Linked DNA regions of Oryctolagus cuniculus. The protein of the gene in region 1 binds, or shares a complex with, the protein of each later gene. Links are inferred from orthologs where the notes say so. Each region holds a gene or a part of one and is shown in the gene's direction. Other genes may lie near its edges.

The links.
Region 2: KANSL1 (region 1) and KANSL3 share a complex: the UniProt entries of both Homo sapiens proteins name them as parts of the NSL complex. The link is inferred for Oryctolagus cuniculus from reciprocal best matches to the Homo sapiens genes KANSL1 and KANSL3.
Region 3: KANSL1 (region 1) and KANSL2 share a complex: the UniProt entries of both Homo sapiens proteins name them as parts of the NSL complex. The link is inferred for Oryctolagus cuniculus from reciprocal best matches to the Homo sapiens genes KANSL1 and KANSL2.

What each region holds. Positions count from the first base shown.
Region 1 is NC_091448.1:17,042,334-17,046,078, forward strand, and holds the start of KANSL1 (KAT8 regulatory NSL complex subunit 1), read left to right. Parts: upstream 1-981; 5' UTR 982-1,077; intron 1,078-2,631; 5' UTR 2,632-2,768; intron 2,769-3,745. UniProt on the Homo sapiens protein: Non-catalytic component of the NSL histone acetyltransferase complex, a multiprotein complex that mediates histone H4 acetylation at 'Lys-5'- and 'Lys-8' (H4K5ac and H4K8ac) at transcription start sites and promotes transcription initiation.
Region 2 is NC_091433.1:111,115,508-111,119,152, forward strand, and holds part of KANSL3 (KAT8 regulatory NSL complex subunit 3), read left to right. Parts: coding exon 1-62; intron 63-1,335; coding exon 1,336-1,509; intron 1,510-1,928; coding exon 1,929-2,013; intron 2,014-2,367; coding exon 2,368-2,498; intron 2,499-3,365; coding exon 3,366-3,475; intron 3,476-3,645. UniProt on the Homo sapiens protein: Non-catalytic component of the NSL histone acetyltransferase complex, a multiprotein complex that mediates histone H4 acetylation at 'Lys-5'- and 'Lys-8' (H4K5ac and H4K8ac) at transcription start sites and promotes transcription initiation.
Region 3 is NC_091442.1:52,177,154-52,180,898, reverse strand, and holds the start of KANSL2 (KAT8 regulatory NSL complex subunit 2), read left to right. Parts: upstream 1-1,422; 5' UTR 1,423-1,616; coding exon 1,617-1,800; intron 1,801-1,944; coding exon 1,945-2,203; intron 2,204-2,954; coding exon 2,955-3,133; intron 3,134-3,540; coding exon 3,541-3,655; intron 3,656-3,745. UniProt on the Homo sapiens protein: Non-catalytic component of the NSL histone acetyltransferase complex, a multiprotein complex that mediates histone H4 acetylation at 'Lys-5'- and 'Lys-8' (H4K5ac and H4K8ac) at transcription start sites and promotes transcription initiation.

The sequences.
Region 1 (3,745 bases):
TCCCTTAACTTTCATGTGTCATCAATATTTTGTTTCTCTTATTTCACCTTCGTTCTCACCCTCCTGACTTTAACTGTGGTGTCTTTTTACATGTGTGGGGGAGACTCTGGGCATTATCATGTGGTGAGCAGAGAGCTCTAAATCTTTTCTAAGCCAGATTGCCCATGCTCTCTCAAAGTTTGTAACTTTAGTTGTCTCTGGGACACCTTCACTCACTTAACCCCTGGTATTTGGAATGGAACATATTGAAACCCAAGGTTCCTCCCCAAATCTGTACGCTGTCCCCATTTCCAGGTTTTGCAACCTCAACCTCAGATTATCTAAAAATTTAAATCAATTAAAAATTTTTTTTTCAGAATTAGGATGTTCATGAATGATTTTAAAAGTAGCAAAGGATACAAAGGCCATACAGTGAGCTGGAAGCCTTTCTCCCACCTGCTCACTGGAGCTGCCCTCCGGGAAGTAACCACCGTGGCCAGCCTGGAGTGATTTTTGATCCCTTCTTCCATCGGTTTTATCTGAAGTCCTCCCCTGTTTGTAAAAGATGTGTCCCTCTCCAGGCCCTTGGAGCCGTATACGTGACTGGCTTTACATATAAACATTTATATGTGCGAATTCGAGATTCATATATAAAATCTCTCCCTATGGCCTTCCGGCCTCGAGTTTTCATCACGTCGCTTCCTGGATGAAGAACCCAGAGGGGTGAGGGGCAGGGGCTGGGGGTGATGGAGAGGAGAACCTCAAGGGGACTCAGGGGGTTCAGAGTGGCCTACTGGTGAGAAGCACCGCTGGGATTCCCGATTCCCAGTCCTCCCACCTCAGGGCCCCTTTCCAGAGCTCCTGTCCAAAAGCCTCTCGTTTCCAAGGGCCCTGACAGAGACAGAGACAGCGAGATAACACAGAGACAGAGACGCCGAAGCACCAGCATCCCTCTCCCCTCTCTGTCCCGCCCCATCGCTCTGATGGACACCCTCTCTCGACCAATGGCGCCCACGAGGAGCCCCGGAAGGCCCAATGAGAGACAGAGGAGGGCGGAAGATTCCCCGCCCCCACTCTAGGCTTGGTTGAGCCGTGCAGGTAGGTCCGGGGCTGGGGGAGCTGCCGTTGGCACTGGTGCCCCGGGGGGTGGGGGGCACGAGTGGGTAGGGGTGATGGTGGGGGAGGGAAGGCGGCTACGACCCGGGGGCTTTGAGGGGGCGGCCCGGCCGGGAGGCGAAGGGTCGAGGGGCCCGCGGAACGGGCTCCGCCGAGGGCCCTGGAATCGGCTGGGCTGGGGGAGCGGGGACTCGTGTGTGGGGCACAGGGACCCCCACCCCGCGCCCACCGGTAGGCCTGGACCGCGGGCTGCTGGCCGAGCTGCCGGAGGGCCTGGCGGCCCGGGGGGTGGGCCGGGCCGGGGGCAGCGAGGGAGCCCAGGGCGCCAGGCCGAGCCGAGGTGGGACGGACCGACGCGGAGAGGAAGGGAAGCTGCATCCCGCGGGCCGCCCCCTCCCGGAGCGAGCCGGGGCCACGGCCGCGGGCGCCCCTGCCCGGAGCCCCCTCGCCCATCCGCCCCTCCCCAACAATGGGGGTCAGGCCGGAGGGGTCGCCCGGCTGCGGGAAGGTGCGGAGGGTAGGTTCGGGACTGGGGTCCGCGGTGGGGGAGGGGTGAGAACTCGGGCTCTCCCCTTTCTCCTCTCCCGCCGCCCGGGAGGGGGGTTCGCAGAGGGGTCCGGACCCCGCCCGAGACTTGGGTCCAGAGTCGAACTCCTCGCACCCCGCCCCCACCGGCACCCCCAGATCCGGTGAGCGGGGCGGAGAGTGATGCCAAGTCCTCGAAGCCGAAGTGCAGAGGCATAGCCGGAACAGACCCGCTCCGGAGGGTTTGCCTTTTTGTTTTTATTTTTGAAATGAGGATACTTTAGTCTTTGATTTTTCCTTATTTTTTTTTTTTAAGAGGTGAGTGCTGTTATTTTTGTCCCTACTCGGGCAAGCCTCCATTTTAAGCGAAGCAGTAACTGGTTAAGCTGGAATTTCATTCAGGCCTAGGACTTGAACTGTAGGATCCTACAAGAGGTCATTTAGTCCATCCTCCTGTCTCCAGGCAGATTTGCCACCTCTCATCCTAGAATGAAGTTGTAAGGGTTTCCTTTAAAGATCTCCTGGGAAGAAGTGCCTTATTTGTTTGTAGTACTTTGGTCAATAGATTTTATTTATTATGTAGAATCAGCTCTGAAACTTAATTTAAGCTCAGAATTTTAGGTCAGAATCATCAAGAGGAGTTTTAATTTACTATATAAAATTAAATATGGTAAGGATCCTTTTTTAGGTGGTTAACAAATCACCTTTCCATAATGTGTATGAAGTACTCTTAAAATTTTTTTCCCCTTTCTTGGATTTTGGTTTTCTGATTCTTTGAGAAGCAATTATATATTTTCTAAAATGTCATACCTTTGTCTTTTCAGGTAAAGTATGTTTACATGCAAGTATCTGCCCTTTTCCAAAGAGTACTGTGTTTTGGGATGAATGAAACAAACAAAAAAAATATATGTGTGTGTGTATATATATATATATATATATATATAAAAGTAGCTTAAACTACTTGCATATTCCGTATTATTTTTTAGTCTAACTGAGAGCTCTCTCCTTTAGGTAACTTCTCAAAACAGGAAGTTTTTCTGCCTGCTCCTACCTGGTGACTGAGGGGATCACTGACTCCCTGTTTGCTCATTTCTGAATCTTGTCTGAACTCTTCTGACACTATGAATGCGATTCGGGTGCCTCTTAAGGTAAGATGTGTGTTTCTCTCATCAGCCTCATTTCGTTAGTGTTGTGAAGAGTGGAGAATATCCTGGTTTTTGAAGTTGCTGTTCTTCAGTCCCTTTACCTGTCACTGCTCCCTTTGAAGATTGCTTTGCAGGAGTGATTGGTTACTCCTTACCTTGCGTTGCTACTGTTTGTAATTACTGGTGTTAAAGTATTAATGAAGGTCTCGGATTATCTCCCATTATAATGATGTGTTCATCTTTTTAACTTCAAATTGTGACAACTTATGTAGTTGTAAAATTCTGCTCTAGTCCTAGTGGGATGGGTTCCACCTTCAGGTCCACTTTCAAATAGGTGCTTTAAAGTCATGGGTGCTAGGGTGTGTCCTGCTCTTGCAAATCAGTAGCTGATTCATGTGTTACAAAAGATGTGTCATTAACTGTTTACTCTGAAACTTCATATGGAGTATTAGAACATTCTAAGAGCTACTGGCTTGGGTGTGCAGCTCTTTGGAGAGTCCTCCTGCTTCTCCTACTCTTTTGCGTGAGATTTTACTTTGTTTCTCAACAGGTGGCACTTGGGCCAAGTTTCATCTCACAGGATAAACCTTATTTGGGCAGAGTGGACAGATGTCCTTTAAATGAAGAAGCTCTCATTGATGTGTTGGTTCTCTCTCTCTCTCTTTTTTTTTTTTTTTTAAGATTTATTTATTTATTTGAAGGTCAGAGTTACACAGAGAGAGGAGAGGCAGAGAGAGAGAGAGGTCTTCCATCTGCTGGTTCACTCCCCAGATGACTGCAACGGCCGGAGCTGCACCTATCCGAAGCCAGGAGCCAGGAGCCAGGAGCTTTTTCCGGGTCTCCCACATGGGTGCAGGGGCCCAAGGACCTGGGCTATCTTGTACTGCTTTTCCAGACCATAGCAGAGAGCTGGATCGGAAGAGGAGCAGCTGGGACTAGAACCGGCGCCCATATGGGATGCCGGCATTTCAGGCATAGCA
Region 2 (3,645 bases), on another chromosome or scaffold:
TCTGAAACAAAATATGCTGGTGAGGAAAGCTCTTCCTCCTGGCACCTCCTCCTGTCTCTTTGGTGAGTATTACTCTCTCTCTCACCTTTCCGCCGTCTGCTCTCTGCTTTATTCCCACCCCTCTTGATTCTGTCCTGTCTCTGCTTCTCATCTGCCTCTCTCATCTGTTTGATTTCCTCCTGTTTGCTTCTCTGAGCTTTTCCCCGTCTACAGATGCTTTGTCTTGTATCTCCATTCTCTCTGTTTGCTTCTGTGTGTTTTCCTTGTTTGCCTTCACTGTAGCTCCTTCACCTTTGTGTGCCTGTGGCCCATTGCCTGAGAGCCTGAGTTTCCCTGTGTGCTCGCTCCCTGCTTGTTTCCATGCTTCCACCCTGCCAGCTGCAGGCACACTAACCACTCAGCAGAAGAAACCTGCGGCTCCTTCGCCCTCCCCGTTCCTTTCTGCTCTGATTCAGCGAGTACATTTGTCCTCTCCACAGTGCCATTCCACAGTAGCTGCCTGTGCCCTGGTCATGGCCCCATGCCTGGATCCCCCTCATGCTTGTGTGGCTGCCTTTCTCCCCACCTCCACCCCTGGCTGCCTGTGCGAAAAAGGGCTGGGCGACTTCTGGGTTGAAAGCCAAGGACATTTGTGAGGACTCCTGAAGGATAACTTGCAAGTCCAAGAAGCTGGGCTGTGGGCATTATGATGTGTGAACAGATAGCCTTTCTCTGTACTTGTACAGATGACCCAGGACCACCTTTAGGAGCTGTGAGGCTGCCAGGGCTTTGAGCCTCCCTCCCCCAGCCTGAAGTCCTGGAGGTTGTCCTCCTTGCCCCCTTTGGCAAGCACCCCTCAGCCCGGGCTCTAAGGACAGAATGGGACTCCTCACAGTCTTGTGAAAACTCCCTGTTAGAAAGGACTGGGTGCTCCTCTGTGGGTTCTTCATGGAATGTTTATTGTCTCCTGGCTGAGTGATGACATGGGGGATGGCTTGGGACAGGAGAGTGATCACACTGTGTAGATATACTTTAGTGAGTCCTCCATTTTTATTCTTGCTGTGGCTTTTGCTAGACAGATGTCTTCTGTCTTGTTCCTACCAACTCTGGGCCTCTTCCCTTCCTTTCTTCAAAGGCAGAGTGAGAGATGGGGATGGGGCCATTCTTTGAGAAGGGCAAGGTGGGCTTCAGCTCAGGCAGACCTCATTGAAGTGGACTGAAACGCGGGTCGTCTCTTGTGAAATGTGGCCTAAGGGTGGGTTGATCTTCCTGTGTGTTCCCGTACTGACCTTGACAAACAGTGTCCACCAGGCTTTCTTGGACTGTGCAGAATCTCACCTGAGCTCCATCTCTTAGTTCCTATTTCATCAGAACCAACAGAGGAGGCAGAAAAAGAAGATCTCCGAGTCCAGCTGAAGCGACACCACCCCTCCAGTCCTCTGCCTGGCAGTAAGGCCTCCAAGCGACCAAAGATCAAGGTGTCCCTTATTTCCCAAGGGGACACTCCTTCCCAAGGAGGAGGTGCTGAAGGTGAGTTTCTCGAGCCTGTTTAAACCCGAGTGGACCTGGCTCTCCCAGGACACAAAGTGTTGCTTCCTGGTGGCTCTTCTTGGAGCAGGCAGCTCAGCCTCTGCTTCAGTGTGAGAGAGACCTGGAGCAAAAATGGCACATTAATGGCAAGGGGGCATTGACTTCCAGGGACCGAGGGTGCCGAGGGGTCGTTCTGAGCATGGCATGTAAATATGTATATTTGTTTTGAATAGAGATAAAATATTCCAAAAAAGTTAGAAAATAGGAGAAGTTACCCTAATTCTTCCTCTAACAAAGTTACTCTTTTTTCATCTTCAAGTCTTTGTCCACAATATCTTGTATTTAGCCTGGGCTGTGGAACCTGGAAATGTAGGGGCCAAATAGGTCTGAGTAGTGTCTCAGGGCTTTCTGCTTTGCAGCTTCAGGAGGGAAACCCATCACCATGACACTGGGGCAGTCTTCAGCAGGGACCAAGGAGCTCACCGGACTCCTCACCACAACCAGGTGAGTTTGTTTCTCGGTTGCTGTCTCTGTTCCCTTCTTAGCTTCACTCCTCTGTATTATATGGTACTGTGGAAAGATGATAGCTCCTGGATTGTGTCATTTGTGGAAATGTACCTTCTTTCTTTTTGTGGTTTTTGTCTTTCTTTTGGATCAGCTCTGAGTTCTCTTGGCTCTCGTCCTAAAGTCTTTACTCTAGGCCTGACTTTGAGGACGACTAGAGGCTGGGTTCAGGAGGTGGGACAAAGCTTGGATCTAGTTAAAGCTTTGTCAGGCCCCACTGTGGACCTTCCCTGTGTTGCTAGGATCTGTGGCCCCCTGGCCTTTGGATGAGGGAGCTCCTTTCTTTGTCTTCAGGTCCAGTGCTTCTGAAGGTGGAGTCACAGCCGGCCCAGCCCCTTCGGTGGTCTCCAACAGTACCACACCCAGCACCTTGCACACACTCCAGAGCCGTTTGGTGGCCACTTCTCCAGGCAGCTCCCTCCCAGGTATCTTGTAACCCAGCATCTCCCCTCTCCCAGCAAATTCTTTTAGTCTGCTGCTGGGGGATAGTCCTGGGCAAACATCCCTGGAGCTGGACGATGCAACTCTGGGCCTCAAGACAGCATAGAGGCTGACCTGGATCTGGAATTAGCTTGAGCTGGGGATTCATTGGCCTTGATGACTGCAGTGAGTGGATGCCCCCAGTCTGCAGGGTCTCTATATTGTACTCTAAGGAGGGGAAGCAGTAGCTGGTGGGGAATGTATGTGCTGTGTTCCATTTGGTGTTTTAAATACATCTGACTGAAGAAAACTAGAATGGTGATGTACTGACAGCAAAGCAAGACCTTGTCCTTCCTGTGCTTGTGTCTTGCTTTCTACACCACCACCCCAGCACGCCCCATTGAAAGGCTCATTGCCTGAGCCCAGCTGGGCCTGGCATCACAGATGATACCCTTCTGCAAGAGGCCCTTCCTCTTGGCTTTGAGGCCACTGGACTGTGTGTAAGGTGAAGTAGAAAGCAGATATTGGAATTCTTCTCGTTTAAAAAGTCCTTCCTCTTCCCTAGAAATTAGGTGAGAATTTAGGTTTTTGAAAAGTGTGATTTGGGCTCTCTTTGGTTTTCCTAACACTGTCTAAAATGTAGTCTGGGTGCTTTGGAGCAGGTTGGGATGTGCAGAGTCAATCCCAAGGCAGTATCTGGCATAGTGCCTTTCCTCATAGGGCAACCAGTGTGTGTGTGTGCCTAGGAGACCTTCTTGGTATCTGAGCAGGCGAGTGTGTAGGAGCATTGGGGTTTTAGTTGGTAAGGATGAACAAGCATGGCTGCTCTTGGGATACATGCTAGTGATTGAGCTTGTTATATCCTCTCCTAGGGGCCACATCAGCCAGCAGCCTCCTCCAAGGCCTCAGCTTCAGCTTGCAGGATATCAGCAGCAAGACATCTGGTCTCCCTGCAAATCCTTCCCCAGGGCCAGCTCCACAGGTGCACATCTGCCTTCCACTGGGCTGGGCAGGTGTAGGGAGGCGGCCTCCTCAGCTTAGCTGATTTTTGCTGGGAGACTGGGTCTGGAGTCATTGGGTCCATGGCAAACAGCCTTCTTAACTGCACAGCTAGGGAGCCGTCAAAGGATAAGGTCCATCACTTACTGTGTG
Region 3 (3,745 bases), on another chromosome or scaffold:
TAGATCATTACCGCTATTGATACTTGTATTCAGAATCCTAAGCTGTTCTAGAATGTTCAAGAGTGCAGGATTAAAAAAAGTTTTGTTGTTTTCCCTGTATCCCTAGTGCCTGGCACTTAGGTGCTCAATACAATCTTTGTTGTGTGAATTTCAGGAAAAGGCCACCTTCTAGGACTGCCTTGCTCTCTGGAAACAGCACCATCCAATTTCACCACAACTCCTCAATTTGGTTTTAATCATTCCTTGTCTCGAAACTGATTTTTTTTTTTTTTTAAAAAAAAGGATGTATTTTAAAGAGTTGAGGGGAGAGAAAGTGCGAGTGTGCTTCCACCTGCTGGTTTGCTCCCCAAATGGCCATAATGACCAGGGCTGAGCCAGCCTTAAACCAGGAACCTGAGCTCCATCTGGGTCTCCCATGTGGGTGGCAGGGACCCATGCACTTGGGCCATCTACTCCTGCCTTCCCGGGGTGCATTGGCAGGGAGCTGGACCAGCGCCAAATGGGATGCTGTGCCACAGCATTGGCCTCCAGTATTGGGTCATTTCTACAAGAGTTATGGAGATACATGTGATGTTTTTAATAAAAATCCTTAAAGGTTGATGTAGGGCCGCCACAAAACACACCAAACACCAGAGTTAAGGGAAAGGGTTTATTGATGGGGGAAGTCTGATACGGTGGAGAGAGAGAGAGATCAGGAGACTGGGTGAGGAAGAAAGATCTGGAGAGAGCGAGCATGTGTGCGGGAAGCAGGTGTTGTGTCATTTCTATAACACCTGAATTACTTAACATGTGCCTGTGGAAGGTGTGTAGGCTATCAGGGCACAGTTTAGGAGAAGCAAGGCTTAACCCCAAACTCCTGTTTCCTTATTCTCGGTCCAGTGCTCCACACCACCATGTGAGAGGCAGTAAAACGCAGGATAGCTGGGTTCAGATAGCCCATTGTGCTCCTGGGTCCTCTGCTCCTTAGGGCTGCTTTGGAAAATGAATTTATACTTGAATTTCCTCAGGTTCATCGTGTACGTGTACTGAACTCATAAAAGAAAGCTAGTTCTGTCATATATAAATACTAAGAGTCCTTCTGTCCGATTTTACACCCGCCGTGTAAGGAAGCTGAGGGAGCGGCAGCCTAAGACCACAAGCACAGGGGCCGGCCCATGTCTTAAAGAAAATCCACAGTCGCGGCCAGCGGACGCTGCAGCCAGCCGCAGGGCAACTCTCCTGGGGCGGTGCTGCTGACGGACAGTTCATCTCAGCCATCTGAAGCGCGCGTTTTCTCAGCGCTCCGCCCCCTCCAGGCTTGATAGGTAGTGAGCCTCGGCCAATGGCGACACGGCTACAGCGGAGCAGTAGCCAATCAACGGTTGGGAGCCAGGAAAGGAGCCGGGCCGAGGTAGGAGCGGCTGGCGCGGCCAGAGAAGGGTGAGCTCCTCCGGAGAGTGCGGCAGTGGAGGTAAGATGGCGGCGCTGTTGGGTCTTCGTGCCCGTCGGAGGGCTGCTGCAGACCCCCTTCTGTGGGCCCAGACATGGTGCCCCGTCTGTATCAGCGTCTGTACCCTTCCCCTTTCTTGTAGGCTCCCAGGAGCCTGGTTCTCCGGTGCCCAGGGTCTTAGGACAAAATGGCGCTTGTATGGGCGCTGGGGCCGGGCGGGAGCTGTGAGGCGGGCCTGGACAAAGGCGGTGCGCAGGGGAGGCGGGGCGGGCGCGAACCTGCGGAGCTCGCCTCGTGCTGCCGCCGTGCGAGCCGTGGACAGGCGTTCAGCGCGGTGCGGGCCGGGCTTGGAGGGAGAACTCGGCGGGGAGGTAAGTGTGCAAGTGCCCGGGAGGCCCGAGGGAGGGCGGCGAGGCGGAGTGACTGCACGTGGTCCGTCCGGATGTAGGGGGGCGGCGGCGGCAGGAGTTTTCAGGAGCGCTGAGGGCTCTTGGATCTTGTGCGTGACCCTACAGGTTTTGGTATGAATAGGATTCGGATTCACGTCTTGCCAACCAGTCGGGGTAGGATCACCCCGGTGCCCAGGTCTCAGGAGCCCCTGTCTTGCTCGTTCACTCATCGTCCGTGCTCTCAGCCTCGTCTGGAAGGGCAGGAATTTTGCATTAAGCACATCCTTGAAGACAAGAATGCGCCCTTCAAGCAGTGCAGTTACATCTCGACCAAGAATGGGAAAAGATGTCCCAATGCTGCCCCGAAACCAGAGAAGAAGGATGGGTATGCAGACTTGTGCCTCTTAGGGAATGTGCTGGGATGTTGGCTTCTGCATAGCTGTGGAGTTTTCGGTCACGCCCTTGTGAAACCGGGCTTATGCATATATCCTTGGAAAATTACTAAAATCGTGAAAACCGGAAACACACTGGAATCACTTAGTTCAATTTGGATCTTTCAGTCTATTGAAATTACTTTCAATCTATCTTGAAAATGAAGGGAGTCTTTCCCCTTTTCTTGAAAATGAAGGGATGCTGAAAATTACTGTTACTTTGGGGTGTATGGCTCTTTGGTGTGTCTGTGAACTTTGTTAAATAATATGCCGAATTGTGTGTGTGTGTGTGTATAATCTGGAAGAGGCTTCATGACTTCAGAGGCGTCCCTGCAAAAATATAACTGGGGTTGTTCATTTGTATATATTCTCTAATTTAAAACTGTGTGTTACATCTTATTAACCTGCAGTGGATTGGCATTAAAATGTGCCTTCCGGAACCAGTATTGAAAGATGAAAAGTGAATCTCTTTGATTTGTTTCTAGATGATGTCAACATTTTTATAGTTGGAATGTTTTGTTTGCTGGTTGGAATGCTGGGTTATGTTATCTGCATTTTCCTTTAATACAATTAAGTTGATCTCGGGCCAGTTAAATTCCTCTGACTCATTGGCTTTTTGAAGTGAATAAAATAGTCCTTTGAATTGCTTAAAAATGCTTTGAGGATCAAGGACTATGGTGAAATACTGGTATTTTGTCTCCTTAGGGTGTCCTTCTGTGCGGAACATGCCCGCAGGAATGCCCTGGCGCTTCATGCTCAGATGAAGAAGACCAACCCAGGGCCTGTGGGTGAAACACTCCTGTGCCAGCTGAGCTCATATGCCAAGTCGGAGCTGGGCTCCCAGACTCCAGAAAGTAGCCGCAGTGAAGCCAGCCGCATCCTGGGTAAGGGCCTTTCCCTGTAGTGGAAAAGGGAAGGTAGTGCCTTGAATGTGCTGGCAGTATTGTTAATTTATTGGGAATCTGGTGAGAATTCCAGGATTGCTATGTTCACCAACTCTTTCAAATCTGAAATAGTGTTGCTTTTGGTTTGTTTTCCTGAGCTGGTGACTCTTCCTTCATTGCTGTTTTTATGCTCAGCACTTTGCTAGGTTATTTCAGGAAAGAATAATAATTTTTTAAGTTGACTTTTTTGGACCTCTTGAGTTGTAAATAATCTTATCAGCACTCTATACTTGTGTTTTTATTTGCCAGTGCCTGTGTATTGAGTTGATATGTTAAGTAACCTAGTTTTGTGTGGTGGAGTTACAGAGGTGGGAAGTCTTATGGCTGCTCTCCCTCCCTTGCCTCAGATGAAGACAGCTGGAGTGATGGGGAGCAGGAACCCATTACTGTGGATCAGACATGGAGAGGTGACCCTGACAGTGAAGCTGATAGCATAGACAGTGATCAAGAAGATCCCCTAAAGTAAGTTGTAACTCCACAAAAGCTTTTGAATGTTTTATCTAGTTAGTATGTGGAATGTAGTGCTGCATGCTGTTAATTCATTAATAACCT